4 linked regions of the Tamandua tetradactyla genome follow. The protein of the gene in region 1 binds, or shares a complex with, the protein of each later gene. Links are inferred from orthologs where the notes say so. Each region holds a gene or a part of one and is shown in the gene's direction. Other genes may lie near its edges. The genes, in order: TAF1C, TAF1B, TAF1A and POLR1H.

Region 1 (6,950 bases):
ATGTGTGGTCTTTGTAGTTGCTGCTGCTGCTGCTGCTGCTGCTGCTGCTACTCGTTACCCTTGGACCTGGCAGTGCTAACCAAATTGTGGCCGTGTGGCTACTTTGGGTTATGAGGAGCAACTGGTGGAACAGAGACCATTTATCTTGGAAGGAGTAGGTGTGGGGGGCCAAGGTAGTTTCAACCTAGTCAAATGTTTCAAGGGTTGGCTTCAGAAGAATTCTGCTTTTTTGTGTTACCCAAATGGTGGAATTAGTCCTCATAGAGAGAATGGACGGGACAACAGGGTTTCAAAAATGGAATGGCTGCTGAATATATCCACAAAGGAACATGAACAGAGTCTTCATAATTGCCAAACCAGGAAACATCCCCAAAGTTCATTTACAAGAGAATGCATACACAAATTGTGGTGTATTTCCTACAATGGAATACTGCTCGATAATACAAAAGAAACTCCTGCTGCATACACATTATGGGTGACTCTTACAGAAATGTTGAGTGAAAGAAGCCAGACACAAAAGAGTATCCTCCACATGATTCCATTTATATGAAGTTCTTGAAGAGATCAGACTAGTCTATAGTGATGAAAGTCATAATAGTGATGACTTCCTGAAGGGGTAATGACTGGGAAGTGGCACCAGGAAAATTTTCTGGAGTGATCGAAATGTTTTCTATCTTGATCTGAGTGGTTGCTACACAGCTTTATGCATTTGTAGAAAATCCAAATGCAAATCCCCCCCAAAAAAATCCAAAAGCTACACCCTTAAAATTTGTGCACTTTACAACATGTAAAGTATATTTTAATAACAAAAAGAAAAGATAGCTTTGAAGATTGAAGGAGCCATGAACCAAGAAACATGGGCGGTTTTTCAAATCTGGAAAAGGCAAGAAAATGGATTCTTTGGAACCTTGTACCGGTCTGAATCAGTGGTGGACCCCAGAAAAGCCATGCCCTTTGATCCTCATTCAATATTGCTGGGTGGGAGCATTTTGATTGTTTCCATGAAGATGTGACCCACCCAATTGTGGGTGGTAACTTTTGATTAGATGATATCCATGGAGGTGTGTCTCCACCTACTGAAGGTGGAGTTGCTTGCTGGAATCCTTTAAAAGAGGAAACATTTTGGAGAGAGCCCCTTTTGATAGAGTTACGAGAAAGCCAGCAGAACCTGCCATGTTCGCCACGTGCCCTTCCAGCTGAGAGAGAAACGTTGAACGTTGTCGGCCTTCTTGAACCAAGGTATCTCTCTCCAGATGCCTTCAATTGGACATTTTATAAACTTGTTGTAACTGGGACATTTTCTCAGCCTTAGAACTGTGAACTAGCAACTTATTAAATACCCCTTGTTAAAAGCCATTCCGTTTCTGGTATGTTGCATCCCAGCAGCTAGCAAACCAGAACAAACCTCTTGTAGGAATGCAGTCCTATTTTCTTTTCTCTTTTGGGTGGTGGTGGCGCATGGGCTGGGAATTGAACTTGGCAAAAGAATTCTACTACCGAACCAATCATGTACCATTAATGCAGTCCTACTGACAGTTTGGTTTTATCCCAGTGAGATCCATTTTGGACTAGTAACTTCCAAAACTGTCAGATAATATATTAGTGTTGATTTAAGGCACGAAATTTGTGGTGATTTGCTACAACAGAAAAAACTCATATAAGTGCCTTCAAATATTTTGCTTACCTACTCCCTAAAATAATTTTGAAAAACTATACATGCCAAATTTTTAATCCCAAATTTAAATACAGAGGTGTAATTTCTGATTTATTATATATTATCATTGTCCTTTAAATATGTTTTCATCAATTTATGAAAAATACTCTCCATATGATCTAATTGGCAAAGCCAAGCAGATAAATCTCATAGTCAAATCAATCATTTAATTCAGATTTACTTCCTATCAGAAAGTCTGGTGTTAATTTCAATTTAAATAAATGTGTTGATATTTTCCCAGAAAAACCATCTCATTTCATTCTCTTTCACTGATTCAGTATTTATTGAGCCTCTACTCTATGCCAGGAACTTTCCTGGATGTTTGGGATACATCAGTGAATGGTCTGTCAATGAATGGAATCAGAGTTCCCAACCTTCTGAATTCTAGGCGTGTAGCCTGTTCTAGTTTGCTAGCTGCCAGAATGCAATCTACCAGAAACTGAATGGTTTTTAAAAAGGGGAATTTAATAAGTTGCAAATTTGCAGTTCTAAGGCTGAGAAGATGTCCCAATTAAAACAAGTCTATACAAATGTCCAATCTAAGGCATCCAGGGAAAGATACCTTGGTTCAAGAAGGCCAGTGAAGTTCAGGGTTTCTCTCTCAAGTGAGAAGGCACATGGCAAACACAGTCAGGGCTTTTCTCTCAGCTGGAAGGACACATGGTGAACATGTGTCATCTGTTAGCTTTCTCTCCTGGCTTCTGGTTTCATGAGCTCCCCAGGAGGTGTTTTCCTTCTTCATCTCCAAAGGTTACTGACTCATGGACTCTCTGCTTCATGGTGCTGCAGCATTCTCTGCTCTTTCTGAATCTCTTTCATTCTCCAAAATGTTTCCTCTTTTATAGGACTCCAGAAATTTATCAAGACCCACCCAAATGGGTGGAGACATGCCGTCACCTAATCCAGTTTAACAACCACTCTTGATTAAATCACATCTCCAGGGAGACCTGATTACAGTTTCAAACATACAGTATGAATAGGGATTATTCTGCCTTTATGAAATGGGATATAGATGGCATTTATGAAATGGCTTTTCTAGGGGACATGCATCCTTTCAAACCAGCACATAGCCTAATCAGATGTTCGAAGTCTTGATGAAATAAGATATCACAGCCAGCAGTATTTTTCTTTATTGAAGTATAATATACATGCAAAAAATGCATACATGTAAAAAAGTGACAGATCATTAGATGAATTTTCACACACTGAACACACCCACGTCACTAGATGAAGAAATAGAATTTTCAGTCCCCAGAATCCCCACAGCTGTACGCTTCCATCATTATTTCTCACACCCAGCTTTTCTTCATCTTCTGGGGGCTCCTGTAGGAGCGCTGCTTTGTGGAATCATCCCCTTGTTCAGCACCCATCCTGGGGCAATGCTCCATGGGTGGGAAAAGAACAACTATGAAAGGCCATACAGGAAAGGAGAACCACCCAACTCCAAGTTCCTCCCAGAGAACAAAACAAAACTATATAGATGGAAGTCAAGAATTTGGAAATGGTTTCTTTTAAAGCAATGGTTTTCAAAGTTGATCCCTGAATCAGCATCGTCAGCAGCCCACCCCCTCCACCCCCCCATCCCCTGCCCTCAGGGACTTCTTAAAAATCCCAGTCTTGGGCCATACTCCAGACCTCCCCAGTCAGAAATTCTGGGGGGTGAGCCTCAGCGCACTGTTTTAACAAATCCTCCAAGGGATTCTGGTGGACACTCAAGTTTGAGAGCTACTGGGTTTGAATTTATCACTGAGCAGTGTTCCTTAAAGCATGGTCCCCTGACAGGCATGTCAGGAGTGATGAACGCAAATTATCAGGTTGCACCCCACCCCTGCTGAATCAGAACCTGGTTTAAACCGCCCTCCAGGTGATGCTGATAGAGACCCACTGCCTGCAACTATACCTGAATAACTTCCCCTGGAAAATCCCCAGGTACTCCAGGGAGCCAGCTTGTTAGGGTTCAAGGACAATCAGTGGGCTACCCACTGGCTAACCCAGGAGCATTTTCTGAGTGGCGCTCAGTAAATGCCTGCTGAATGAATTAATTGAAACGCAAATCAACCCTAACAAGCAGGAAGGAAGTTGGTCAAGCAAAGTGGGGATTCAAACCACGTCCACCTGGCTTTCACATTCCCTCCCCTGTCCGGGAGGGGGCGCGCGAGGACGCTAGGGAGCCCGAGCTGGGAGGCGGGACTTCCTATCGCCGATGGGGCACTTCCGGCCAGACCCGGAAAACTGTTCGTTCGCAACGTGGGTGGGTGTTGACCCCGGCGGTTCGCTGAAGGTAGTGTGGCGGCTTTAGGGCTCTCTCCCGCGTGGAGGGACAGAAGAGCGTCGCGCGGGCTCCCATTTCTCTGACTAGCACCCCGGAAGCCCGGATTACGTAAGTGCGCGGGCCACTCGAACGGGAGGAGAGAGCGCTGCCAGCCGGGCGGCGAGGCGGTCCTGGTCCGAGAGGGGAGCTCGGTTTACTTCCGCGCGGGTCCGCAGGCCCCAAGTGGTGTGGCTTTGGGACGAATTATTTAACATCTGCAAAGTGGGTTATTAGTAGCCTCTGGCTGACGATTCCACAAATGTGAAACGGGGTAGCGGCTGTCTGCACGCTTCCCTGAGGAGCACACAAAGGACTCAAAATCTGAAGGACAGGTAGGATATTGTGAGGCTCCTGGAGGGAATGGATACGGGCTCATCCGAAGCAGAGGGGCAGTGTGCAAATGTCCTGTGGTGAGAAGAAACATAGTGAGGAGGACCCCAAGGAGGTCAGCGTGATTGGGATCCACGGAACAGGGAGATGAGCTGCAGGTGTTTTTGTGTCTGCTGGTTTATTGAGGTGGCGGCTGTCGGGAGGAAGCTTGGTGCACCTGAAATGCAGGTGTGATAGCCTCTTATGGAAGCTAGTGACTTTTCACAAAGATTCACTGAGCACCAGCGGGACCCCCGACACTATCCTCTTCTATTGTGCAAAAGAAATTAATAGTAGCAGCCAGACCCCAGGAACTTAAGAATGAATCAGTTACAATCTTTGCCCTCAGAGAGCTCACAGTCTGGTGGAGGAGACAGGATATACATGAAAACTATGATTACAGTGAGGTTGATGGGTGCCCCAAGAGACTCACTGAATCACTCGACCCTCATTGTGCCATTAGCATAACGGGTGGTGCTGAAAACACGTGGACGTGCAGAGCTACAGCATAAACTGGTAAAGTGCATCACAAGGGAGAAGATTTTTACCTCCTAAGACTATGATACTACTCATTGTTTGGTCTTGGGTGCACAGGTGTGTTGTGGTCCAGTACACGGGCTTTGAATTGGATGAGGGGGTGGGGGCTGAGGTCTTGGGTCTGGCACTTATAAGCTGTTGACTTTGGGCAAGTTGCCATTTACCAAGCCTCAGTCTTCTCAACTCCAGAATAGGCATATCTGGAAGAAGAGGAAAGCATGTAGCACCATGTCTGGCAGCCCATGGCACTCAGTGAGTGCTGCTGTTATTTTTGTGTTTAATTTTAAAAGGGAGATGGCTGCCTGTACTTTTAGAATACTTTGTATTTCCCAAAACCCCCACATTAATAAAAATAAACTTTTATTCAACACACACTTTCTGGGAAGTGCATTTTCTGGGAGGCACTGTGCTTGACAGGGGGAAGACGGATAAGCACAACTCAGTCCCTGGCTTTGGGGGAACTTGAGTCCAGCCTTGGGAGTTAGATTACAAAAGTAGAGTGATAATACAGGGTGTTAAGAACTGTGATAGAAACTGAGCCATCACCATTTGTCTGACTTTCCCTTCCACTCTCCGTGTTCACTCTGTGGCTTCCTGTTTGTTTCCCAAACATGCAAGCACTTTCCTGCCCCAGGACTTTTGTACTAGCTCTTCATTCTGTCTGGAATCCTGTTCCCAGTTGTCTGCATTATTCTCTCCCCCATTAGATGCCATCTCTGCTCAAATGCCATGTACTCAACAAGACTTTCCCTGGCCAGTCACTGACCCCTTCTTGTGGTTGTTTGGTTGTTATGTTTTAATATAGAACTTTTTGTTACTTTCCATTAGACTTATATAGTCATATCTTTTTCAGTATGTTTTTCACCAAGGAAAGTAGATTCCTCTTCGGGCACTTTTTACTCTCCCTAGAAACTCTGGAGACCGTGATCAGATTCAAGTCTCTTGGGAAGGCCAGGGTAAAGTTTGGTTCTTGTTTTCCAGAATGGACTTCCCCAGCTCCCTCCGCCCCACCTTGTTTACAACGGGCCCCCTTGGACTGAGCAGTGTCCCCGACCTGTCTTTTATGTGCAGCTGGAGAGATGCACTGACCCTGCCACTGTCCCAGCCCCAGAACTCAGAGGTGAGGAGGGTAGGAAGGGGCCCTGAGAACTCCAGAATGAGCCGTTGAATTGAGTCCCCTTTCCTAGCACACCAGTTGGCAAGGGCCTAGGGTGGGCGGTGGTAGCCCAAACCCATGAAGACACAGGCTGAGCCAGAGCCCGCCCTGTCAAGGTATGTGGGAAGCCCTTGTCCATGGACGGCTTACCTGGTGAGAGCTGGGGTTCATTCTGTCCTGCCTCCCTGTCCGAGTCCTTCATTTGTTCATATTGAACAGTCCTGACCGTGTCCTGACATCTTACCAGGTACTAGGAAAACTGGCAGTGAGTCAGATCATAATCCCTGCCCTCACAGAACTCATGGTCGAGCAGGAGTAAACAAGCAAACATATCAGTGAATGAAATAATTTCAAATTGTGATAGCTTTGAGTTTGAAGCAAAGGGACAGAAACGGGGTGTAGTAGGGACGACGCTGGGAGTAAAAACCACAGCCTGCCTGTAGGCTGCCTGGGTTCCAATGCCAGCTCCTCTCCTTATTGGCTCTGTGACCTGCAGCAAGAGACTTAACCTCCCTGTGCCTTAGTTTCCTCCTTGGTAAAGTGGCAATTACAGTTGTACCACCCTTGGAGGGTGATTGTGTGAATTGAATTGAGCATGTAAAAGTGGAGCGCTTGTTGTCGTGGTTGTGGTTTTCTTGCAGAATGTGGCACTGCCCTCAGCCAAGGGCCTGTGGTGGGAGCCAGAGACCCCTGGACCCCTCCCCTTGCTGCCTCCTAGTCCTGGTAAGGCTCCCCTTCCTCTGGTCGGCTCCCAGGCTGCCCCACCTGTCACTCCTCTCCCCAGCCCTCTGTCCCCTGAAGCCTTCCCTCACCCTCCTGATGCTTTCTGCTCCCCTGGGGTCCCTGGATCCCTCCAGTCACCT
Region 2 (7,251 bases), on another chromosome or scaffold:
CATGGTTAATGCTTGTTTAAGAACCTTGGCTTGCTCCATATCATGAAGATATTCTATGTTGTTTTCTAGAAACTTTATGATTTTATTCATCACGTCATTCTATGATTTATTTCAAATTAATATTTGTATAGAGTGTGAGCAGGGGTCAATATTTTTTTCTTATCAATGCTCAACTGATACAGTACCATTTATAGAAAAACCATCCACTCCCCACTGATTTGTAATGGCACCTTTGTTGTAAATCAGTTAATCTTATATGTATTTAGGGGTCAGTTTCTGGACTTTCCATTCAATTTCATTAATCTTTTTCTTTAACTTTGCACCAATACCACATTGATTTTTTAGCACTGCTCCCATAAACACTGGTGTGCAAATATCCATTTGTGTCCCCACAAATGGATTTCAGGATTATATGACAACCCTACCCCTAGCCTCCTGTGGAATCACCACACTGCCCTCCAAGGGGCTGCAACTCTCATTTTCCCTACTGACAATGAATAGGTACATCTTTTTTTCTGCATTTTTTTCTAGCACTTGTTTCTCTCTGTTCGTTTTTAAACAGTTTTATTCACATATCATAAATCCAACTTAAGTATAGAGACATGATGTTGCCACCAGAACCTATACGAAGACACTTCTTTTTCTTCCACAGAGAATCCATACCTTGCCCCATGCCCCTCCTTCTTGGCATTTAGTTTTGGCATAATGCCTTTGTTATATTCAGTGGAAGCATATTACAGTGTTACTGATGACTACAGACCCTAGATTGCATTGATTGTACTTTTTCCTGTATACCATCTGTTCTAGTTTGCTAGCTGATGGAATGCAATATACCAGAAATGGAATGGCTTTTGAAAGGCGGAATTTAATAAGTTGCTAGTTTACAACTTATTAATTGGGACTAAGGCCGAGTCCGAATTAAAACAAGTCTACACATATGTCCAATCAAAGGCATCCATCCAGGGAAAAACACCTTGGTTCAAGAAGGCTGATGAAGTCCAGGGTTTCTCTCTCAAGTAGAAGGGCACATGGCGAACACAGTCAGAGTTCTTCATCTGCTACCTCCTTCTCCTGGCTTCCTGTTTCATGAAGCTTCCCGGGAGGCACTTTTCTTCTTCATCTCCTAAGGCTGCTGGCTGGTGGACTCTGCTTCGTGGTGCTGCAGCATTCCCTGCTCTCTCCAAATCTCCCATTCTCCAAAATGTTTTCTCTTTTATAGGACTTCAATAAACCAATCAAGACCCATCCAGATGGGTGGATACATGTCCTCACCTAATCCAGTTTAACAACCACTCTTGACTAAATCACATCATCCGGGGAGATGATCTGATTACAGTTTCAAACTACAGTATTGAATAGGGATTATTCTGCCTTTATGAAATGGGATTTTGATTAAAACATGGCTTTTCTAGGGTGCATACATCCTTTCAAACCAGCACACATTTTCAACATCTTGCAATGTGGACCATCATTTGTTCTCCCTCATGCAGAAACGTTTTTTATTTGCACATTTAATCACTGTCATTGTCCCCTTTAGTCATTCCTAAATTATGTCAATTCAGTCTTTATCTACCTTTCCTTCTGGTTTCATATGTGCCCCCAGCCCTTCTCCCTCAATCATAATCACATTCAGCTTCATTTAGCGTACTTATTGTTAGGTCGGGGGAATAAGGGAGGGCTGTAAGGCTGGAATCATGAAGTCACTCCAGAACAGGAGGTGAAGGGAGGTGAACCATTACAATCAAGGTCCTTGAGCAGCAAACATCTATTCACGGACATCTAACCACCCGCTGCTCAACCCGTTAGCATAATAATCCTTTGTTTAATATGCTGCCCCTTTCATGTCATCACCTAACCCCTGCCCTTAAAAACTGCACTCGCCAAAGCTCATGCGGGGACTCACCTCCGTCCCTCTTGGGTTCGGTGAGCTCTGCCCCTGAGTGCAGCCCAATAAAGCATGCTCATTTACAATCCTTTTGTCTACTTTCCTTTCTCTCAAATACCTCATATCTTAAAACCTTTTACTTATATTATTGTGCTACAGTCAGGTAGTACTGTGCTATCCATTTCTGAATTTTTACAATCAGTTCTGTTGCACAATTTGTATTCCTTCAGCACCAATTGTCCAATCTCTATCCTATTTCTATCTCCTGATAACCCGTGTTCTTAACTTTAACCCTCAAAGTTCACTCATTAATGTTAGTTCAAATTAGTGAAACCATACTGTATTTGTCCTTTTATTTCTGGTTAATTTCACTTAGCATAATTTCCTCAAGGTTCATTCACATTGTTATATGCTTCATGACTTTATTTTGTCTTACAGCTGCATAATATTCCATCGTATGTATATACCACAGCTTGTTTAGCCACTGGTCTGTTGACAGACATCTGGGACATTCCATTTCTTGGCAATCAAGAAATAACTAACTTTTACAGAGGAGGCAAACTGAAGTAAGTAAAAACAGAAAACAAAACAAAGTAAAATAAAATGAAAAATGTGATTAGAAAACCAGGTCTGATGCAACAACTTGTGTTCTTTTTCAAATATCTCATCCATGCTATTGAAAGCCAGCAAGAAAAAAAAAAGGCCGGTTAAGTACTCCCTCTCCTCATGCCTCCCTCCCTGCAAGCCTGATCCCTCCAGAAAGTGTCTCTTTTCTCAACCTTTTCTTCCATCTTGCTCTGCATCAAAATGCACCTGTCCCATGCACCATCTCTTCAGGCCCACAGTCTCTATGTTCTAGGTGATGAGGCAGAGATTGTGGTAAAAAAAGAGTCCTACCTTCCTGGCAACATGGGACAGAGATCCTGGAATGAGCTAAGACTCAGCATCAAGGGACTGAGAAAAACCCTAGAATGAGCTGAGAATTAACATCAAGGGATTGAGAGAACCTTCTTGACTAAAGGGGGAAGAGTGAAATGAGACTAAGTGTCAATGGCTGAGAGATTCCAAACAGAGTCGAGAGGTTATCCTGGAGATTATTCTTACGCATTAAGTAGATATCACCTTGCTGTTCAAGATGTAGTGGAGAGGCTGGAGGGAACTGCCTGAAAATGTAGAGCTGTGTTTCAGTAGCCATGTTTCTTGATGATGATTGTATAGTGATATAGCGTTCACAATGAGACTCTGTGAATGTGAAAACCTTGTGTCTGATGCTCCTTTTATCTACCATATCAACAAAAGAGTAGAACATATGGAATAAAAATAAATAATAGGGGGAACAAATGTTAAAATAAATTTAGTTTGAAATGCTAGTGGTAAATGAGAGCAAGGGGTAAGGGGTATGGTATGTATAATCTTTTTTTTCTCTGTTATCATTTTATTTCTTTTTCTGTTGTCTTTTTATTTCTTTTTCTGGATCGATGCAAATGTTCTAAGAAATGATGAATGTGCAACTATGTGATGGTATTGGGAATTACTGATTGTATATGTAGAATGGAATGATATCTTAATGTTTTGTTTGTTGTTAATTTTTTTTAATTAATTAAAAAAAGAAAAGAAAAGAGTCCTAGGCTTTTGTGAAAATTTCAACATTGAAGAACTACTATGTTGAAAATTTGGGTATCCACAGAAGGCCTGAGTCTGGTGGGAGAATATAACTGCACTTTCGGTGAGACCCCAGTTGCCCTCAGATTCTGTATTGATGCCTTCTTCATGTGAGGGAAAGCTGCAAGGAATCCACCTCCTCTGATGGAGAAGAAACTGAACAGAAAAGACAGCTTGTGGAAGACGTTAAAAGACTCACTGAAGAAGAGAGAAAATATGACATGATATCCCTGCTTCTGACTCCCTCACTCGCTCTCTCTGAATTTTATCAGGCAATTTCAGATGCAGTATTCCGCTTCAATATTCTGTGTCTGTCTGTCCCTCTCTCTTTAAACGTATACCTGTAGGTAATACCAAGATCTGTATGACTATCTCTTAAGATAATTTTGTTTTGCTTTTAATAGTTGGATAGATTTTGTCAGTCAGCGAAGATGCTGTTTTGTTTACTAAATAAAATTGGCATTCCAATTGCCTCATTTCCCTTATTAAAAAAAAAAAAAAACCCAGTAAGGGGTGGAGAAAGGAAGCCGTGCATTGTGAGCGCGGGTAGCTCTAGCTCTGGAACTTGGCCCTCCCTAGCCTCCCTAAGTCTCGCAACGAAAAAATGGGTCCTGTAAGGCACCACCATTAGAACGAGGCGTGATTGGATTAGTTCGGCAGCAGGCCCCGCCCAATTGTTTATTGGCTGGTTTTAGTTAGCAAGACTAGAAGCGCCTACCGGATTTACGCAGTTTTGCCCCCAGAGCTTGTCCAGGTTTCACCGAGGCCGCAGGCACCCGGAACCCAAAGCCAGGGCTTCCTGTTTCCGGCAGGAGGGCTGCACTATCCGCTCCCGAAAGCTGCGCTCCAGACCCGGTTCATAGTGCCCGGCGGCGGTGGTGGCGGCGACGGGGGCGGCGCCGTTATGGACCTAGAGGAGGCGGTAAGGAGGCGGTGCCGCTGGCTGCCGGGGCACAGCTGGGACTGGAGCGGAGTGAGGCTAAGGGGAAGGGGTTGGAGGATGCTAAGTGGCTGTGAGGCAGGCCGCCGAAAGTAGAGGGGCGGGCCGGAAGGATGCGAGGCCGGGAAACGGGCCAGGGTTGGCGGGCGACTCGAGTTCTTGGGAACGAGACAGGAGTTTCAGGCTCAGCGAGGTTGTGGGTGCAGGCAGGGTGGTTTGTTTGTGATATGGGTGTGTTTAAGGAGGAAGATGAGGTTGTGGGTTTTGTGGGGAGGCCACCCACATGGCGCATCCTTTGTCAACCGGACCACCCACAAGTTCCCATTGATGCTGTGGTGGGGGAGGGAGGGGCAGAGGCTGGAACCAGAATCCACCCAAGTAACCCCTGCAGATCTCTCTGGGAATCCTCGCCTCGGTCTGGTGCAGTGATTCCAAATACCGGTTTGCGGACACCCCAATGTTAAGGTAGTTATCAGCATGGGGTCGTTGAAGACTTGACCACGTTGTCAGAACAATTTTGCTTTCATTTTTGACATGCCTCATAAAATGCTGCATTCTTTAATGGTGTCGACGAAGTGTTAGGTCTTCTTATCAAGAATAATAAGTTGTGCAACACCTAAGACATTAGGAATCAGTGATTTAGTGTCAGTCAGAGTTAGGTCTTTGACGTACAGAAGCAGTATGATGATAGAAGGCCTTACTCATAATAGCTGCTCAATAAGTGTTCATTGATTGATGAATGGTTAATATACATTAATAATTATAACTCACCATTAGCATGTATACTCTGAGTAGGGATCACGTAGGGATCACGTCTGTTTCACTCACCATTGAATCCCTAGCGTCTAGTAAAATGCCTGATACATTTAGTTATACTCAAATAACTATAATAGTTGATACTCATTATAATTGCTGAATGAATACAATGAAACTTGAAACAATTCTAATAAAAATCTGGTTTCTTTGTGGTGAGTGTGTGTTTTTAGGGACCTGAAGGAGGTTCCAAATGATATGCTATTTCTATGTTTTAAGTCTTCTCTATACTTAAAGCTTGCCTTTTTTTCATTCAGTGTTTTCAAGGAGTTTTATTTACTCTTCTCTGTTTGCAGTTTTACCCTTACCACCTTTTCTTCTTTTTCCTCACACTATATATATTTTAGAAAAGAGTTTGATTTGCTTTATACTGGTTCAGAGACTGAATTGTTATTCGCCTCTGATTTATTTTTATTTCGATGATTTTCATTTATAAAATGTATTAAGTGTAATTTGTTCGTTAACACCTTTTCTATCCTCTTTTCCTATAGAAAGAGTTCAAAGAACGCTGTACTCAGTGTGCTGCTGTCTCTTGGGGCCTTACCGATGAAGGCAAATATTATTGCACTTCGTGCCACAATGTTACAGAAGTAAGTAATTGATGTATCATTTATGAATTCGTTTGCTTCAAAATTGCAGTTTCAGCCTGATATATAACACAGTTCCCAAAGAATATTTATTTTTATCACTCATGAAATGTGAAAATTCCAAGAAATGTAAGTAGTCTTCAAGTACTTACACACGGGTTAAGGAATTTGTGAATTAGATTTAAGGTGAGTTTTTAAAATTAAGTTGGGCCACACTTTTAAATGATTTTCTGATTCGGCATTTAAGATTTAAGGGGAAATAATTGAAATTGTACTCAGAAGATGATACATTTCTATGTTAGTTAATGCTTAAGAGCTTTTAATATGCTTCATATCATTTTATTTTTGTACAGTACCTTACAGATTACAAAGTGTTTTCTTATCTCATTTCTTCTTCATAGGGAACTGTGAGATATGTTATGTGAGTATATAGATGAAGCATCTAGGGTTCACAGGATTTGAGTGAGCTTGCTAAAGGTACCAAGTGTGAAGTGTCTGAGCCAGAACTTGAGCATGAGTCTTCCTTACTCTGGGGTTCTTTTCACCCCACCACACCTGCCTCTTAAAATAGAAATTATCATGCAGTTCTGTGTGATCTTGGTGAACGGGGAGCTCTTGGTCCTGTTCTGGTTTCACGCTGTAAGAGTAACAGAACCAAAATAATCAAAGGTGTGGACAGCCTGCTAAAATGCAGGACTCTGTTGAAAGGGATTTGCTCCGAGTCTACAGAGGCAAGATGGAGCAAATAATCACATTCACCAAGTAAGCTTAAGAAAGACAAATATGGAGCAGATAAAAGTAAATGTGTAGACTTCTGGGCAAGATGAAGTCCCTGGGACCATATTTATTTTCCTACTTGAAACAGCTGCAAACCTGGGCAAAATATATGAAACAAGTAAAAAAAAAATGTTTTCTTTGAGAAAAGTGGTTAATTTAGCTGGCAGCTCAATTGCACAAGTGCTTTTCCTTGAGACAATTGTTGTACTTCAGTCTTCAGCTGAAGGGCTCGTGTGTACTTCCCATGTGTTCACACATAGTGTTAAAAAGATTTGTTCTTGCTTGATGAAATTGTTGGGGTGATGGGCATGCTAATTATCTTGATTGTGTTGATGGTTTCAAGGACAGCTCATCAAATTGTACGCTTTATAAATATATTCCGTTTGGTGCCTCTGCCTTGATTTGTGTTAAGTCTCTAGCGATTTTACTTACCATTGTTTTGCACCAGCAGTGCAAATGTAAACATAATGAAGAAACATGATAACTAAATGGACTGTTTACTGTCTGCAAAGTCAGTATACTATTTTTGTAGAAATTGAGCTATATTAGCTAATTGCTTCTTTTATTTCTGCATGTGATAATGTTTC
Region 3 (7,230 bases), on another chromosome or scaffold:
TTCTCAAAAACTTAAAAAATATTACTAAATAAGGTTAAGATGTCAATTCTACCCACGGTTACTTACAGATTCAATGCTTATTACAAATCACAGTAATAAAAAACAGCATAGTACTGACAAAAGGACAGAAAAATAGAACAATAGAGTCAAATTGAGAGTTCAGAAATCAACCCTTACACTTATATCCTTCTGATTTTTTTTCTCTTTTTCTTTTCTCTTCTTTCTTTTTTTGCATGGGCAGGCACTGGGAATCAAACTCAGGTCTCTGAGAACTCTGCCTGCTAAGCCACCTGGCCCGCCCCCAACTGATTTTTGACAAACGGGGAAGGACCATTCAATTTGGAAAGAACAGGCTCTTTAACAAATGGTGTTGGGAAAACTGGATTTCCATTTGCAAAAGAATGAAGGTGGACACCTACCTCACATCATATAAAAAAGTAAACTCAAAATGGATCAAAGACCTAAATATAAGAAACAGAGCTATTGACTCGTAGATGAAAACATAGGGAAGCGTCTTCAGGATCTTGTGTTGGGCAAGAGTTTTAGACTTCACACCCAAAGTTCAAGCAACAAAAGAAAAAATAGATAAATAGGACCTCCTCAAAATTAAAAACTTCTGTGCATCAATGGTCCTTACTATGAAAGGAAAATGACAACCCATACAATGAAAGAAAATATTTGGAAGCCACAAATCCAATACATAAAGAAGTCCTCCAACTCAACAACAAAAAGATAACTCAATTTAAAAATGGGCAAAAGATTTGAACACACATTTTTCCAAAGAAGATAGATAAATGCCCAAACAACACATGAAAAGATGCTCAACATCATTAGCATCACAACCATAATGTGTTACCATTTAATACCCACAAGAATGGCTATTATTAGAAAAATACAAAATTACAAAGTGTTGGAGAAGATCTGGAGAAATAGGAACACTTTATTCATTTCTGGTGGAAATGTAAAAATGGTGCAGCCACTCGGTGGAAAACAATTTGCCACTTTCTCAGATAGTTAAGTATAGAATTGCCCAGCATATATGTCCCAGCATATATCTAGGTATATATCCAAAAGAATTGAAAGTAAGGACTTGAACAGATATTTGCACACCGATATTCATAGCATCATTGTTCACAATCGCCAAAAGATGGAAGCAATCCAAGTGTCCATAAACCAGTGAATGGATAAACAAAATGTGGTATATACACAAAATGGAATATTATTCAGCCATAAATAGGAATGAAATTCTGAAACATGCATCAACAGACAAAAGAAGGTGGAAACAAAGTACAAATATTTTATGATTTCACTAATATGAAATAATTAGAATAACCAAACTCATATGGTCAGAATCTAGGTTACAAAGGGATGGGGAACGGGGTGGAATAGGGAGCTGTGTTAGGTTCTCTAGAGAAACAGAACCAACAGAAGAGATCTGTAAATATGAGATAAACATTTCTCATGCAACCGTGGGAATGGAAGAGTCCAAAATCCATACGGCAAACTGTGAGGCTGGTGGCTCCAATGAATGTTCTGGACAGCCTCCTCAGGAGAAGTGAAAGAGTCTCTCTTATTCACTAAAGACCTCCAACTGATTGGATTATCTCAGTGCAGGAGACTGCCTTAGTTGATCACACATGTAATCAGCCACAGATGCAATCAACTGACTGACCAACCTTCTAGTTTATCAACCAGCCACGAAATATCCTTGGCCAGTGCTTGTCTGACCAGACAACTGGGCACAATCACTTGGCCAAGTTGATACCAGAACCCAACCATCACAGGACTTAAGGCTTAAAATGTAGAATTTCTATTTGGAATGCTGAAATGTTTCGATAATAGATGGCGGTGATGGCAGCATAACATTGTGAACATAATTAACAGCAGTGAAATATATATCTGAAATTGGTTCAAAGGAGGAAATGTTAGGTTGTACATATGGTACCAGAATAACATTAAAAAACAAAACAAAACATGGAACCGCATAACACTAGCTGTGAGTCCATGGAATATAGTTAATTTTACACTGATAAAAAATGTGCTTTCATCAATTGTCACAAATGTACCACACAATGGAAGGTATTAATAATAGGGTGAAATGTGGAGACCTGTATTTTATGCATGATTACTCTGTAAACCCACACCTCTAAAGAGAAAAAAAACTGATAGGATGGACTTAGTTGGCTGTATCCAAGGCTAGATATCAAAAAGGAAATGACACTCCTGAGGGGGAAAAAACAGCAGTAAATTAGATTGAACAAGAGGCCTGTCCACAGGCCCACTTCATAATTATACTCCAAGGTGGCCAGCTCCTCTCAGGCCTCAGAGAACTTTCCTTCCTCCATGCCCTAGCCCACATATCAGCGCAGCAATACCTGTTTGTCATATACCAGGTCAATCTTGTGGTCAAGGAGGCCCCAGACCTCGGAGATGGCTGTGGTGTTGCTTAGCATGCAGACTGTTCACTGTGCCACTGCGGGGTTGTGGCAGTTGATTTCAATCTTGAAAGCCACTGGATACTAGTCCATACACAGGATGGTACTCTTGATCATAGCGATGGTGGCAGTCACATCCTTGAGCTCCACTTTTCCACTGTAGAGTATGCAGCAGACTATGCACTTTCTGGGGGAGGGTCACACTTGGCTATCTGGAGGGTTAAAGCAGATACTAGTCACCTCTGCCACTGTGAACTGCTCATGTTTCAGCTGAGACAATGGGCAAGTAGGTCATCAGGGGAAAGTGGATGGAGGGGTAGTGCACCAGGGTGGTCTGGCACCCTGTGCAGTCCATGTTCAGGAACCTGTCAACGCACAGGGAGGTGGTGATGGAGGGAAAATCTGACCAGTGAGTCAGACTGTGATTTAGCATGGTCAATATTTTTAATCTCTTTGTCCCAATGCATGTTCTACCAGAGTTGTACCATGGGAAAGGAAGGGTAGGTAGGGCATATAAACTTACTAGTTCTTAACTTTCTCTCTTTTATCTACTGCTGTGTAGAGAAACTAGAAATTTCTTCCCCACTTAGATGAGAACATCAATTTCTAGCCACATAAAAGCAACTCTGGGTTGGTTTTGGTGAAATTATATCTCATGGCAATGGACTAAATATATCCAGATTAAGGTCTAGGCTGGGGGGCTAATAACTATAGTTTTGTGTGTGTGTGTCGTGCCCTCCTCTACCACACCATCATATAGATCAGTGTTGCCTGTGGCACTCGAGCACATACTTGAGAAAGGCCAAGCACTTATATGGCATAGCAGGAGGAACTTTTCTTGCCAGTATTTATGAATGCAACATAGAAATAAGTATTCCTAACATTATAAGGAATCACTTACATGCTCTTACTAGACCTTTAGTTGCCTCCGCAGTACACTGATTGTGCTCAAATGGTTCATTCTGGGGAGGAGCTCAAAAGATTCCTGGAGTCACCGACACCCTTATCGGTGCAACTTTAGCTATTAACAAAAATCTTTCTTGGAACGACTTTAAAAATGCCTCCTTCTAGCATTTATTCAATCAATTCTATCCTCTCATGCTATACAAAAGTAATCTAAACCTCCCTGGACGGATCAGCTCTCCAAATATCCGAAAGACACATTATGTTCACGTGTATCTCTGCTTTTCCAAGGTCACCCTCCTCGAAACCCTTAACTGTCTCTCATTTCACATCGTTTAACCATTTTATTTTTGACCCCTATTTCATACAGGTTTTTCAATGTCACTTACGGAAAATGGCCCAACACAAGTACTCGGAATCGTCCCCGCTGAGGACCAAATAGAGATTCTAGTCCGAGTTTTGGGGAGGCAGTCAGGGTCGCTTAAACTCACCCGAAGGTCAGAGCTAAAACTTTAATAAAAGGAAAAAGCCAATTAGACGGCTAGCAAGAGGTCCTATCGGGGTCGCTCGCCACGCCTCCGTTCGCGCAGCCCGTCAGTGAGCAAGCAGAAACCGGAAGGTCCCGCACGGTAAGTCACTCGGGTAATGTGACAGCCTGCTTTTTCGACTGTTCTTCATTTCCAGCCATTCTCCGTCGCCCCAATATCCACTTGTAATTAGAATCTCTCCTTTTCCGGCTGGGACAGATTAAAACGTGAACCTGAGACCATACCCACGAGAAAGCGGCAAGTCTCCACACCGGCCACGAGGGGCGGCCGTGACGTCACCACGGCGGCGCTGGGGGCGGGGCTGCTCCTGCGCACGGCCCGTGCTCCCGAGCGATTCTCCGCGTGCTCACGCGAAGCGTCGCGGACGTCACTTCCCGCGAGGTTTTGTTCGTGGTGTCCCGCGAAGTTGGAACGCCCAGCTCAGCCGGGCCCAGGGGCTTCACGCTTCAGGCGAGTACGTGTCGTGGACGTTGTCTGCGGCACCGCCTGCTTTCCCGGTTGAGCGGGAATGGCTGTGCGAGGACGCAGGTGTGGCCCGGTATTTTCTCCTGGTGCGGTGAGACCGTGAGTGAGTCGAAGAGAGAGAGCGGAAGCCTTGTTGCCGTGGTAGCCGCGCGCTTCACCGCGGGGTTCGGCGTGTTTGTGAGCACGGCCTCGGTCGGGACTCCTGGACGGCCCCGGGTGGGTCAGCCTTGGTCACCTTTCTTGTGACCTCAGGTAGATGACAAGATAACACTAAACCAGGCTAGTTCTCGCCTGCCATGCCGGAGACCCGGGTTCCATTCCCGGTGCCTACCCATGCCAAAAAAATAAAAATAAAAAATAATAATAATAATCACACTAAGCCCCTCAAGTCTTTTCACCGTCAAAATGCGGTATTTACCTCAGGATTACTGTGAAGATTAAATTAGGTAGTTTGTGTGGCTGACATATAGTAAGATCCCAGTACATCTCAACTGCTACTGCTACTCTTGTTTTGTCCTACTATTATTTCTCATTTTTCTCTTTCTTGTGGACTTGAGTTTGTTTTTGAGTAAAAGGACAATATCTTGGTTATCTCTGTATGTGATTGCTTATAGTTGATGTTGTATTTTTTTTTATGTTGCTGACATAATTATATCTTATTTTTACTTTAAAGGAATTCCCAAGTACAGAAAAATTTTGCTGATCAAGTATTTCTTAGATCAGAAGACGACTTTTCTCTGTAACTCAGAAGCCTACGGATTAAGATGTACAGAAAGTAACTGATATTCTCAGTTTCGAGTAGGTATGAGTGATTTCATTGAGGAATCAGCAAGGCCCGTGCCCGAGGAGGATGGGGTGGACATGTCTGTGCTCTCTGGTACAGGAATTTATTTCCCTTGGCTCCGAAAGCAAATAGAAACTGTGGGTAAGTAAAAGAACATATGACCGTTTAACTATAATGCAAGGCAGTGGTTAGATTCAGTATGGATGCGAAATGAATAACTAGGTTGGGGAGAGCTTCAGTTTTCAAGGTAGGAAATAGGTGATATACTTTTTAGGCTGTAAGGAAGAAAACAAATCACAAATAGGTCTTTTTTTTTTTCTTTTAAAATTCTTTTCCTTTGAATTAATAACAAGTAGTCTGTATTTCTTTTTCCCCAGCAAGACTTATTTCACACACTTATTTGGCATTGGCTAAATACTGGTGATATGCAGATTAGTAACGTTGGGACTCTGCCCACTGAGGAATGCATACCTAAGAAGTGTTCAGGAAGTTCTTGTTGAATTGCACTGGAATGATTTCAAATAGAATTAGTTTTAAAAAAGTGTTTTCCCCCATTTTCATTTAATATAAATATGAGCAAGTTTTTCGATGAGATAAATTCCCTACTGGATTGAATAAGAACCAGTTATCTACATGTTGGCATGTTGGGTGATGTAGTCCTGGGAATACATTTGAAGCATTATTTTTATTATTGCCCTCAATCCGTGTTTCGTAGCCCATAATTGAAATCCCTTAGCTCCTGTTTTTTTTCCTTCTAACCTGAGTATCATTTCATTAATTATCTCAGTAAATTAATCCTCATAGCAGTATATATGTCAGGCATTTTAGAGATGAAGAAACTGAATCTTAGAGAAGTTAAACTATAAGCAGTGGTGTCAGGAGTCAAACCCAGGTCTGTTTGATCTCAAAGCCTGTGCTTTTAACCACTGAGCTATATAAAAAGTGAGATAATATATTTGAATTGCTTAGCATAGAGCCTCATGCACAGCGAGTGTTGAAAAATTACCAATTCCATTCCTCTCCTCATTTTATTTTAACTAGGTTAATGCATATGACTTAAGCGAAGTTTGACTGTATTGTACTTCAGGAATGATACCTCACCCCTTAGAACTAGGAACCTGAAGTGTGGGGTTAGGTAATGCTACTCAGTTTCTGCTAGTTAAGATATACCTGGGTATGTTTCTGTCACCAGGGATCTATAGAGAGTTTGATTAAGTCTGCAGGTAAATAGGTTTAAGACCAGAATTTATGTGCTTAGAAATGTGTTATTATGTATTATGGATAGCCTTTTAAACCCAAGATATTGTATATCTGCAATGAGAAAATAGTAATAAATAATATTGGCACTGTAAGTAACGTACAGTATTGACGTTGTAAGTAACTATAGTTTGAAAACGAAATTGCCTAAGAATTATTTTTTTATACTAGTAGAAAGTTTTTGGCATTCTGAAGGATCTGCCCTCCTCCCCCCTAGAATGAAAGCTCCTTTAAGGGAGGGGTCAGTCTGGAATAAAGATTTATGCCAAGCACCTAGAATTTGTTGACTGACTGACAACTTTCTGGATTCTTTTAGGGGCTGATTTTTGAATGACTGGTTCTTATTTATAGCTCATTCCATGCCAAAACTTCTTTTCCTTAAGAAATATTATTATTACTATTTTTATAGTTCTTTTTTTAAAACATTTTTATTGTAAATAACAAACATTCTTGACACTGTTAGAATTAGTGGCTCACAATATCATCACATAGTTGTGTATTCATCACCATGATCCTTAGTTTTAAACATTTGCATATCTCCAGCAAAAGAAAGAAAAAAGAAAAAATTCATACATGCCATACCCCTAACCCTTCCCTCTCATTGATGACTAGTATTTCAAGCTACTCAATTTTTAAAATCTTTGCTCCCCCTATTATTTGTTTATTTCTTATCCATATTTTTTACTCATTTGTCCATACTGTAGATAAAAGGAGCATCAAACACAAGGTTTTCACAGTCATGCAGTCACATTGCGAAAGCTTTAAGAAACATGGCTACTGGAACACAGCGTGATAATTTCAGGCATTTCCCCCTAGCCACTCCAATACACCATAAACT
Region 4 (7,501 bases), on another chromosome or scaffold:
TAGCTAAGTTAGTTTTCAAGCCCTGAACTTTCTGATACTTCCCAGAATGGGCATATTCACTGAATTCTGGGGAAAGATGAGGAAAAGCATTAGAAAAAAAGTTCGTTTAAGACGTGATTTTATCATAAAAGCACTGAAACTTTATTAATCCTTAATTTTTCCTATTTGACTCCTCAAAAAGGGAGGCATAGTCAAGAATTTTCTTTGTGGTGGCTTTATAACTGTATTCTCTTCTCCATTCTGAGACTTTTCCATAAGAATATTCACTTTAATATGGCTTCCATGGTACGGCTGGAAAAGAGGATATGCAATAACACTCTCAAATTCCTTTACCTCTTTCTTTACTTTCTCACGCTTCTCATGTGCAGATGGCAGGCTCTGTTTATCCCCCAAGAGCCTTTCCTTGAGTCTTTGCTCTATAAGTTCTCGCCCTCGAATCATGCGTTCCTGGTGATCTTTAATTTGCACCTGTTCCCTCTCTACTACCTGCTTTCTTCTCTGTGCTTTCTGGTTGCCATGTTTTTCTGACATGATTTTTGGTAGTGTTGTTTCACTAATGACTCGTAGTTGTTTAAATGTTTTATTCCTGAGTTCTCTGGCCTGTCCGGCTCGATGTATGTACCTCTCTATGTGTTTCAGCTCTCTCTCAGGTACTAAATAGTACCATTTTTGTCTCTCTATGTCTTGGGTTATTTTCTCCTCTATCTTCTTCTCAATTTCACTGACTGACTTTTGTTTTTTCATCATTTCCACTGTTCTTTTATTATAATAAGACTCTGCTTTGGCAAGCCAGTAATCAAGAGAAAGAGACTGCTCCTCACAGAGTGTTTTATACTCTTCTTGATATTTTTGGGTTATTAGTCTTCTTGTTGCTGTTGTATGCACGCCACCTAGATTCTGTCAAAATGAGGTATAGAATTTTAAAATATGACCACCATCTTTTTATTTAGAATATATGTAAAGACGAGCCTACTCTCAGTACTGAAACAAGCAAAGATACATAGTTTTTAATTTACTTCAATGTAATAATTGTGATTTTACTCCCATGGCACCTAGGTAAGCCTGTAAGCTCTGAAAGTACGAAGTACCTATCCATCACCATAAATCAATAACTAGTTTAAAAATATGTACAGTGTTAGGGGTTTTCAAAATGATACCTTTTTTTGCAGCTGTGGACAAAGCTGAGAAACATTTTTCAGTGTAGACTTACTATCTGAAGGTATCATTTGGGGGAAAGGATTTTAAACCTAACATTCCTTCTCCTAGTAGCTCCAAATTGTATGATGCAAAGATAATTTACTTACCAAGATCTTTTTCTCCAGTGGGGAGTGTTGGCCTGCAGCAATCCTAGAGTCTTTTGATGCTTTAGCCCAGGCCAATCTGTAAAATAAAAAAGCAAAAATAGATTAGAATGTGGGAGGTGTTAGAACACATCTGCTCACATAGTGTCTAATCTAACTGAATCAAGGAACCCAATGGTTTTGGTGAAGTCCAATGGTATTTCCCCCCCGCAAAGAGAAAACCCATGAATAGGTTATAGCAGGGCCATTTTCCTCAAGGAAACCATCGTATTTCTATGGTAGAGAGTAATAAATGGTCTTTTAAGAAGAGGATTTTCCCTTTATATGAGCTAAAAGCATACTTCTCTTGTGGACTCAACTTGAACCATTCTGAGTCTTGTACTGGGGAATGGGCGAGGGAAGTGACAGACTTCTTGGTGAGGTATTGCTGATGCACATCTATGTCAGACTGGTCAGTCCCCCAGCCTCCTTCATCTTCTGAGATAATTCTAGACTCTAGTTTTATTAGTTCATTCTCTTTCTGTAGTTTCTTGATCCGGGCCCTCTCTGCCTCTATCAGCACATACAGCATCTCTGTGCGCTCAACTTTTGCTCTGAAATTGTTATTTTATTGTCCACACTTCTGCTTGGCTGCCTTACATACACTGCCAATCATTCTTCACACTAATCCATTATGGGACCATTTACAATTGAACCCTTCAGGGTAGGAACTGGCAGGTACTCTGTGTTTACTTATAGGACAGGCTGAGAGCAACACACATGAAGACTATTAACTTTCTATGTGTCATCCCTGGTCTGGTCTGAGTTACTGTGAGGTCGTATTTAAGCTACTGAGGATGCCTAGCAATTCATCTCTGTGCTTTTGTTTACACCCTTTATGATTAAGAGCATGGGTTTTGGAGCCTGATAGGGTTAGACTTGAATCTTAAATCCACCACTTCCCAGGTGTGTATACCAAGGGCAAGTAACTTATCCTCTATGCCAGTTTCCTCATCTGTAAAACAGAGACAAGACACAATTCTGCCTCTTGGGGTTATAAAGATTATAAAGAACAAATACAAGTTAGATGTAAAGAGCTTGGCATAGTGCTTGATATATGGTAAGTTCTCAGTAAATGGCAATTATCTGTCCTCCACAGATTAAGTCCATGACTCTCCAAAAATTCTTTTTGCTCTACTCTGTCTCATAGTAGCTTCTGCCTTCCCCTGAAGACTTTTTTTCTACAAATCATATGAAAATTAATCACGCTTTACATTGTGACACACACACACACACATCACTTTTCACATTTTGCTGCATTATTTTTACAACTATAATTTGGGTGTATTCAAAGAGCAGAAACAAAATTCAGATTTACAAAGATATGATCTCTCTATATTATCAGAGAGAATCTGAAAACTATTCTGAATCACTGACCTCTTAGATGCATTCATATTTGCCTATGCATAACACATTAACATCTAACACAGTATTTAAGATGAGTCTGTGATTCCAAGTCCCCTTAGTATTTAAAAGTGAAGATTTATTATTTATTATACTTATCACATGATGTCTCAGCATCTTTTTCATCCCCATGGCTTTGTATATATCTTTTCGTTAAAGCATTTACCAGTCTTTCTTGAAGCACATGGGCATATTTATTTGATATGCTCATCCTGGACACTTACATTTTGTACATACTAGTGTTCATTACTCATTTGCATTCCTTGAGGTTGGAGAACAATTTTCAACTTTGTAGCCCCAGACTCAGCTCAAAGCCTGGCATAAATGCTCAATAAACATTTACTGATTAGAATGTGAACTTATTGGGGAAGGGGCATGCCTTATAATGCTTGCAGTTCCTTTACTGCATTAGGATATTCAATACATGTTGGATGTTTCACTGTATGTCAAAGCGAAAAGGAAAAGTTGGGGTGCGAGGAGGGCTAATTTCAATTTCCATTTTCAAAGGAGACAGCACAGTGAGATGTAAGCATAGAAACTGCCTACCATCCTGGGCTTAGCAACAGACCTGTCTTTGTAATACAAAGAAATGACACTCAAGTAAGTGAAATTACAGGGCTTACCACTCTCCTGCAGCTCGTTAAGTTTTAACTCCATTCAATATCAGGTATGTCCCCACTATTGGAAAAAAAAGAATCTCCCAGAGACGGCATTTTGTTTCTTTCAGAGAAAAAAACAGTGATAGCTCCAGGAAAAAAAATATATATATATACATATGGAGATTATCAGAACAATCCGGTTGGGTGGAGCTGGGAGGACTGGAAAGAAGCCAGGGAACTCATCTAGGAGTTTCCCTTTTAGTTCAAATTTGTACACAGATTATATGTTACAAATGAACAAAAATACCAAGATTTTCTAAAGATACTACCCTTAAATTTTAGAAAAGATTAGGGAAATGTCGACTGCCCACCTAATGGATGACAATGATTTAGAGTTGGGCAGGAGGCGAAAGAGAATGGGGCGGGAGTGGATTTCTGCAACAATAAGCCAAACTTCACCCAAGTCTTCGTGAAAGCCTTCCACTACCTACTCCCTTGATTAATGCTAGTCTCCCTCGCCTGGCAGGTGCCTAAGAATAGGGGAGCCCCGAAACACCCCTATTCCAAACACTTCCGCTACCTCCAAAATCCTAAATCCCTCCAACGTCCTACTCAATTCCTTTCGTCTCAAGGGACTAAGTATTCCTCCTCCGTCTTCATCCTTACCACTTTCTGCCCCTTAAGATGCCAACTCACATCTTCCAAGCGCCCCTAAACTGCCTCCCAAGAAGAGCACGCGTGCCAGGCTGAGCACTGCAGAGCAGCCCACGCTCCGCCAGCAGGATCCAAGCAATACCAGAACCGTAACTCTCGGAATGCTTAGCTTTCTTTGTTTGTAACCACTGAGCAGCCGCCGAAAGGAGATGCCGGCTCAGGAATGGCGGGAATTGTAGTTCCCTTGTCAGTAAAACAAGTATTCAGGAAGATTAGTACGTTTTGGAGGGAATGACCTCCGGCAAATGATGCGAGACCAAGAAAATAAGTATATCAGAGTTCTGTCCCGGGGATAAAAGCAGCCAGAAGCGCAGTACACGTTAGCATTTTTCTTTTCCGACGTCACAATACAAAGCCGAAGAAACCACAAGTTCCGCTCGCGCGGCTTGCGTTCTCTCAGAAAGGCTTTTGGACTTAGGTTAGCGATTACTTATGACATCTCAGCCAATCGTGAGCCGGGACGCTTTGACGCTCTAGGCCGCCATGCACCGACTGCTCGGCGGCTCTCTGGGAGGCCGACGCTCTAGCCCGCGGGGTTGGTCAGCTCGTCTCCCAGGAAGGGTACCAAGCCGCTGGGCTCCAGAAGAGGGCTGGCAGTGCTGGACGCTTAGGCCCACTCGTCGCAGAAATGGGAGGCGTGCTTTGGAATGTTTATGCCTAGGTCCTGGTTCAGGACAGGAAGGACCCCAGAGTGGTGAGGTTGGTTTTAAAAAACCTTTATTTTGTTAATACGTTGCTCGTCCGCTCCCCAACCCGCGACCACCTTTCCGTTATGGACCTCGCCAAGACCTGCTCCAGCTTCCAGTCGGACCTCGATTTCTGCCCAGACTGCGGCTCTGTTCTGCCCCTGCCCGGGACTCAAGATACGGTCATCTGTGCGCGCTGTGGCTTCTCCATCAACGTGCGGGGTGAGCGACTCTTAGGCAGTGGTCCGGGCGGAGAGTCCGGAATGGAAGTGTCGGAGGTTTGGGGACCTCAAGATCGCTGGGATTAAGGAGGGGGATTCTAGAGCAGGAGACCAGGCACTTATACCTTTGGTCCAGGGCGGAGACCCGAAGGTGACACAAGGAATGCAGAGCCTCCTGGCTTAACCGGGAGCGGGGTTGCGGGTATCTACTCCCACCATTTGTCTCCACAAACGATTCTTACTGCCTGCGCAGACTTCGAAGGGAAGGTTGTGAAGACCTCATTTGTGTTTCACAAACTGGGAACAGCCGTGCGCAAGTCCGTAGAAGAAGGACCAGCGTTTCAGGGGCCCGTGGTAAGTTAATGAGATCAAGGACTGGCTCAGTAAGGGAAATGAAGAAAGAAATGGGGGAGGGGGCAATTGGAGAGATATGGAGAGTTTTGTACCCAAATCCAGGAAAGTAGAGGGGAAATGTCTGTGGGATGTGACAGCCTGATTCCTATGCGAATTAAGGAGATACTGACTAGGCCTTCCCTGTCCCACCAATTGTTTCCCAGGTTGACAGACGCTGCGCTAGATGTGGTCATGAAGGAATGGCATACCAGACCAGACAGATGCGCTCAGCCGATGAAGGGCAGACTGTCTTCTACACCTGTACCAACTGCAAGTGAGTGTCATTTCCCCTCCCTCTGCCCTTTCTCCATCTACTTGCCAGCTAAACAAATCCAATGGCTTACCTTTTACTAAATGAATAATTATCTTCTTTGGTCATATCCCTCATATCTGTACAGTTCAGATAGTAAGAAAATGCATGGTCTTCTTTTTAATATTTTCATTGAGAAATCTTCAAACATACCTTCCATACATGGTGTACAATCAATGGCTCACAATATCATCACATAATTGTATATTCACTACCATGATCATTGTTTAGAACATTTGCATCACTCCAGAAAAAGAAATAAAAGGAAGAAAGAGAAACCTCGTGCATACCATACACCTTACCCCTCCCTCTTATTGACCACTAGTATTTCCATCTACCCAATTTATTTTACCCTTTGTCCCCTCTATTTATTTATTAACTTTTTATCCATATTTTTTTATTCCTCTGCCCATAGCTGGGATAAAAGGAACATCAGACACAAGGTCTTCACAATCACGCAGTCACACTGTAAAAGTTATATCTTTTATACAATCGATTATCTTCAAGAATCAAGGCTATTGGAACTCAGCTCAAATGTTTCAGGTACTTCTCTCCACTCACTCCAACACACCATAAACTAAAAAGGGATATCTATATAATACATAATAACCTCCAGGATAACCTCTTGACTCTGTTTGAAATCCCTCAGCCACTGAAACTTTATTTTGTCTCATTTCTCTCTTCCCCGTTTTGGTTAAGAAGTCTTTCTCAATTCCTTATGCCGGGTCCCAGCTCATCCCAGGATTTCTGTCCTGTGTTGCCAGGGAGATTTACACCCCTGGGAGTCATATCCCCCGTATTGGGTAGGGCAGTGAGTTCACATGCTGAGTTGGCTTAGAGAGAGGCCATATCTGAGCAAAAAAGGTTGTCTGGGGATGACTCTTAGGCATAATTATATGTAGCCTTAGCCTATCATTTGCAGAATAAGTTTCATGAACCCCAAGATCGAGGGCTTGGCTTATTGATTTGGTTGTCCACACTGCTTAGTGAGAATATCAGAAATTCTCCAAAAGGGGGAAGTTGAATATTTCCTCCTTTCTCCCATTCCCCCAGGGGACTTTGCAAATACTTCTTTATTCATTGCCCAGATTACTCTGGGATTTATCAGATCATCACACTAACTTGAACAAACCAACAAAATCTCACCCCCTATTGAAGATTCCATATACTTATAATGTTCAACTAAACTAACCGTACTAATTAAATTAGGAAATGCACTACCTAAAATATAAATTTTGCACCCAATAAACATCTCTCCCTTTAGTCTCACACAGAAGTTGAAGTCTTAAAATATAGATATCATCCTTTAACTGTATTCTGATATACCTTAGTTATATCTGGATCAGCTTCATTCATGTCGCTACTTGATGTCTGATCACTTTTTTAACTTTTTAAACAGTTCCTGTGTGGGGTACTGATGACTTTCATAGCTTCAGAGTTCTGAGTCTTAGATGTCACATAAATACCTGAAGTTTCTGGGAATGACCATGTTATATACAAACAGCTCAGTATCTCAGAATTTAGAATTAACAGTTAGATCCCCTGAATATATGTGACTGCTGTAAGAGCTTACAATCTAAGACCCTTTACAATAGGCCCCAACCTAATCACCCATGTTCTCAACTTTAGTTCACTGAATTTTTATATTATGGTTAGTCCATAAGGTTGAGGCATGATAATATTTGTCTTTTTGTTCCTAAAATTTCATTCAACATAGTCTTTAAGGTTCATTCACCTAGTTGCATGCCTTACATCTTCATTACTTCTTGCAGCTACTTAGTAGTCTGTTGTATGTATATACCACAGTTCCCCCTTCCATTCCTCAGTCGTTGTA

Evidence for each region.
Region 2: TAF1C (region 1) and TAF1B share a complex: the UniProt entries of both Homo sapiens proteins name them as parts of the transcription factor SL1/TIF-IB complex. The link is inferred for Tamandua tetradactyla from reciprocal best matches to the Homo sapiens genes TAF1C and TAF1B.
Region 3: TAF1C (region 1) and TAF1A share a complex: the UniProt entries of both Homo sapiens proteins name them as parts of the transcription factor SL1/TIF-IB complex. The link is inferred for Tamandua tetradactyla from reciprocal best matches to the Homo sapiens genes TAF1C and TAF1A.
Region 4: TAF1C (region 1) and POLR1H share a complex: the UniProt entries of both Homo sapiens proteins name them as parts of the pol I pre-initiation complex. The link is inferred for Tamandua tetradactyla from reciprocal best matches to the Homo sapiens genes TAF1C and POLR1H.

The regions. Positions count from the first base shown.
Region 1 is NC_135342.1:78,858,768-78,865,717, reverse strand, and holds the start of TAF1C (TATA box-binding protein-associated factor RNA polymerase I subunit C), read left to right. Parts: upstream 1-3,939; 5' UTR 3,940-4,094; intron 4,095-4,100; exon of another isoform or gene 4,101-4,357; intron 4,358-5,912; 5' UTR 5,913-5,913; coding exon 5,914-6,051; intron 6,052-6,728; coding exon 6,729-6,810; intron 6,811-6,950. UniProt on the Homo sapiens protein: Component of the transcription factor SL1/TIF-IB complex, which is involved in the assembly of the PIC (pre-initiation complex) during RNA polymerase I-dependent transcription.
Region 2 is NC_135329.1:56,007,135-56,014,385, forward strand, and holds the start of TAF1B (TATA box-binding protein-associated factor RNA polymerase I subunit B), read left to right. Parts: upstream 1-4,248; 5' UTR 4,249-4,451; coding exon 4,452-4,469; exon of another isoform or gene 4,470-4,641; intron 4,642-5,791; coding exon 5,792-5,890; intron 5,891-7,251. UniProt on the Homo sapiens protein: Component of RNA polymerase I core factor complex that acts as a GTF2B/TFIIB-like factor and plays a key role in multiple steps during transcription initiation such as pre-initiation complex (PIC) assembly and postpolymerase recruitment events in polymerase I (Pol I) transcription.
Region 3 is NC_135330.1:83,117,583-83,124,812, reverse strand, and holds the start of TAF1A (TATA box-binding protein-associated factor RNA polymerase I subunit A), read left to right. Parts: upstream 1-4,211; 5' UTR 4,212-4,336; exon of another isoform or gene 4,337-4,603; intron 4,604-5,024; 5' UTR 5,025-5,155; coding exon 5,156-5,276; intron 5,277-7,230. UniProt on the Homo sapiens protein: Component of the transcription factor SL1/TIF-IB complex, which is involved in the assembly of the PIC (pre-initiation complex) during RNA polymerase I-dependent transcription.
Region 4 is NC_135331.1:84,544,495-84,551,995, forward strand, and holds the start of POLR1H (DNA-directed RNA polymerase I subunit RPA12), read left to right. Parts: upstream 1-4,498; 5' UTR 4,499-4,829; coding exon 4,830-4,965; intron 4,966-5,217; coding exon 5,218-5,318; intron 5,319-5,521; coding exon 5,522-5,631; intron 5,632-6,030; exon of another isoform or gene 6,031-7,501. UniProt on the Homo sapiens protein: Core component of RNA polymerase I (Pol I), a DNA-dependent RNA polymerase which synthesizes ribosomal RNA precursors using the four ribonucleoside triphosphates as substrates. Can mediate Pol I proofreading of the nascent RNA transcript.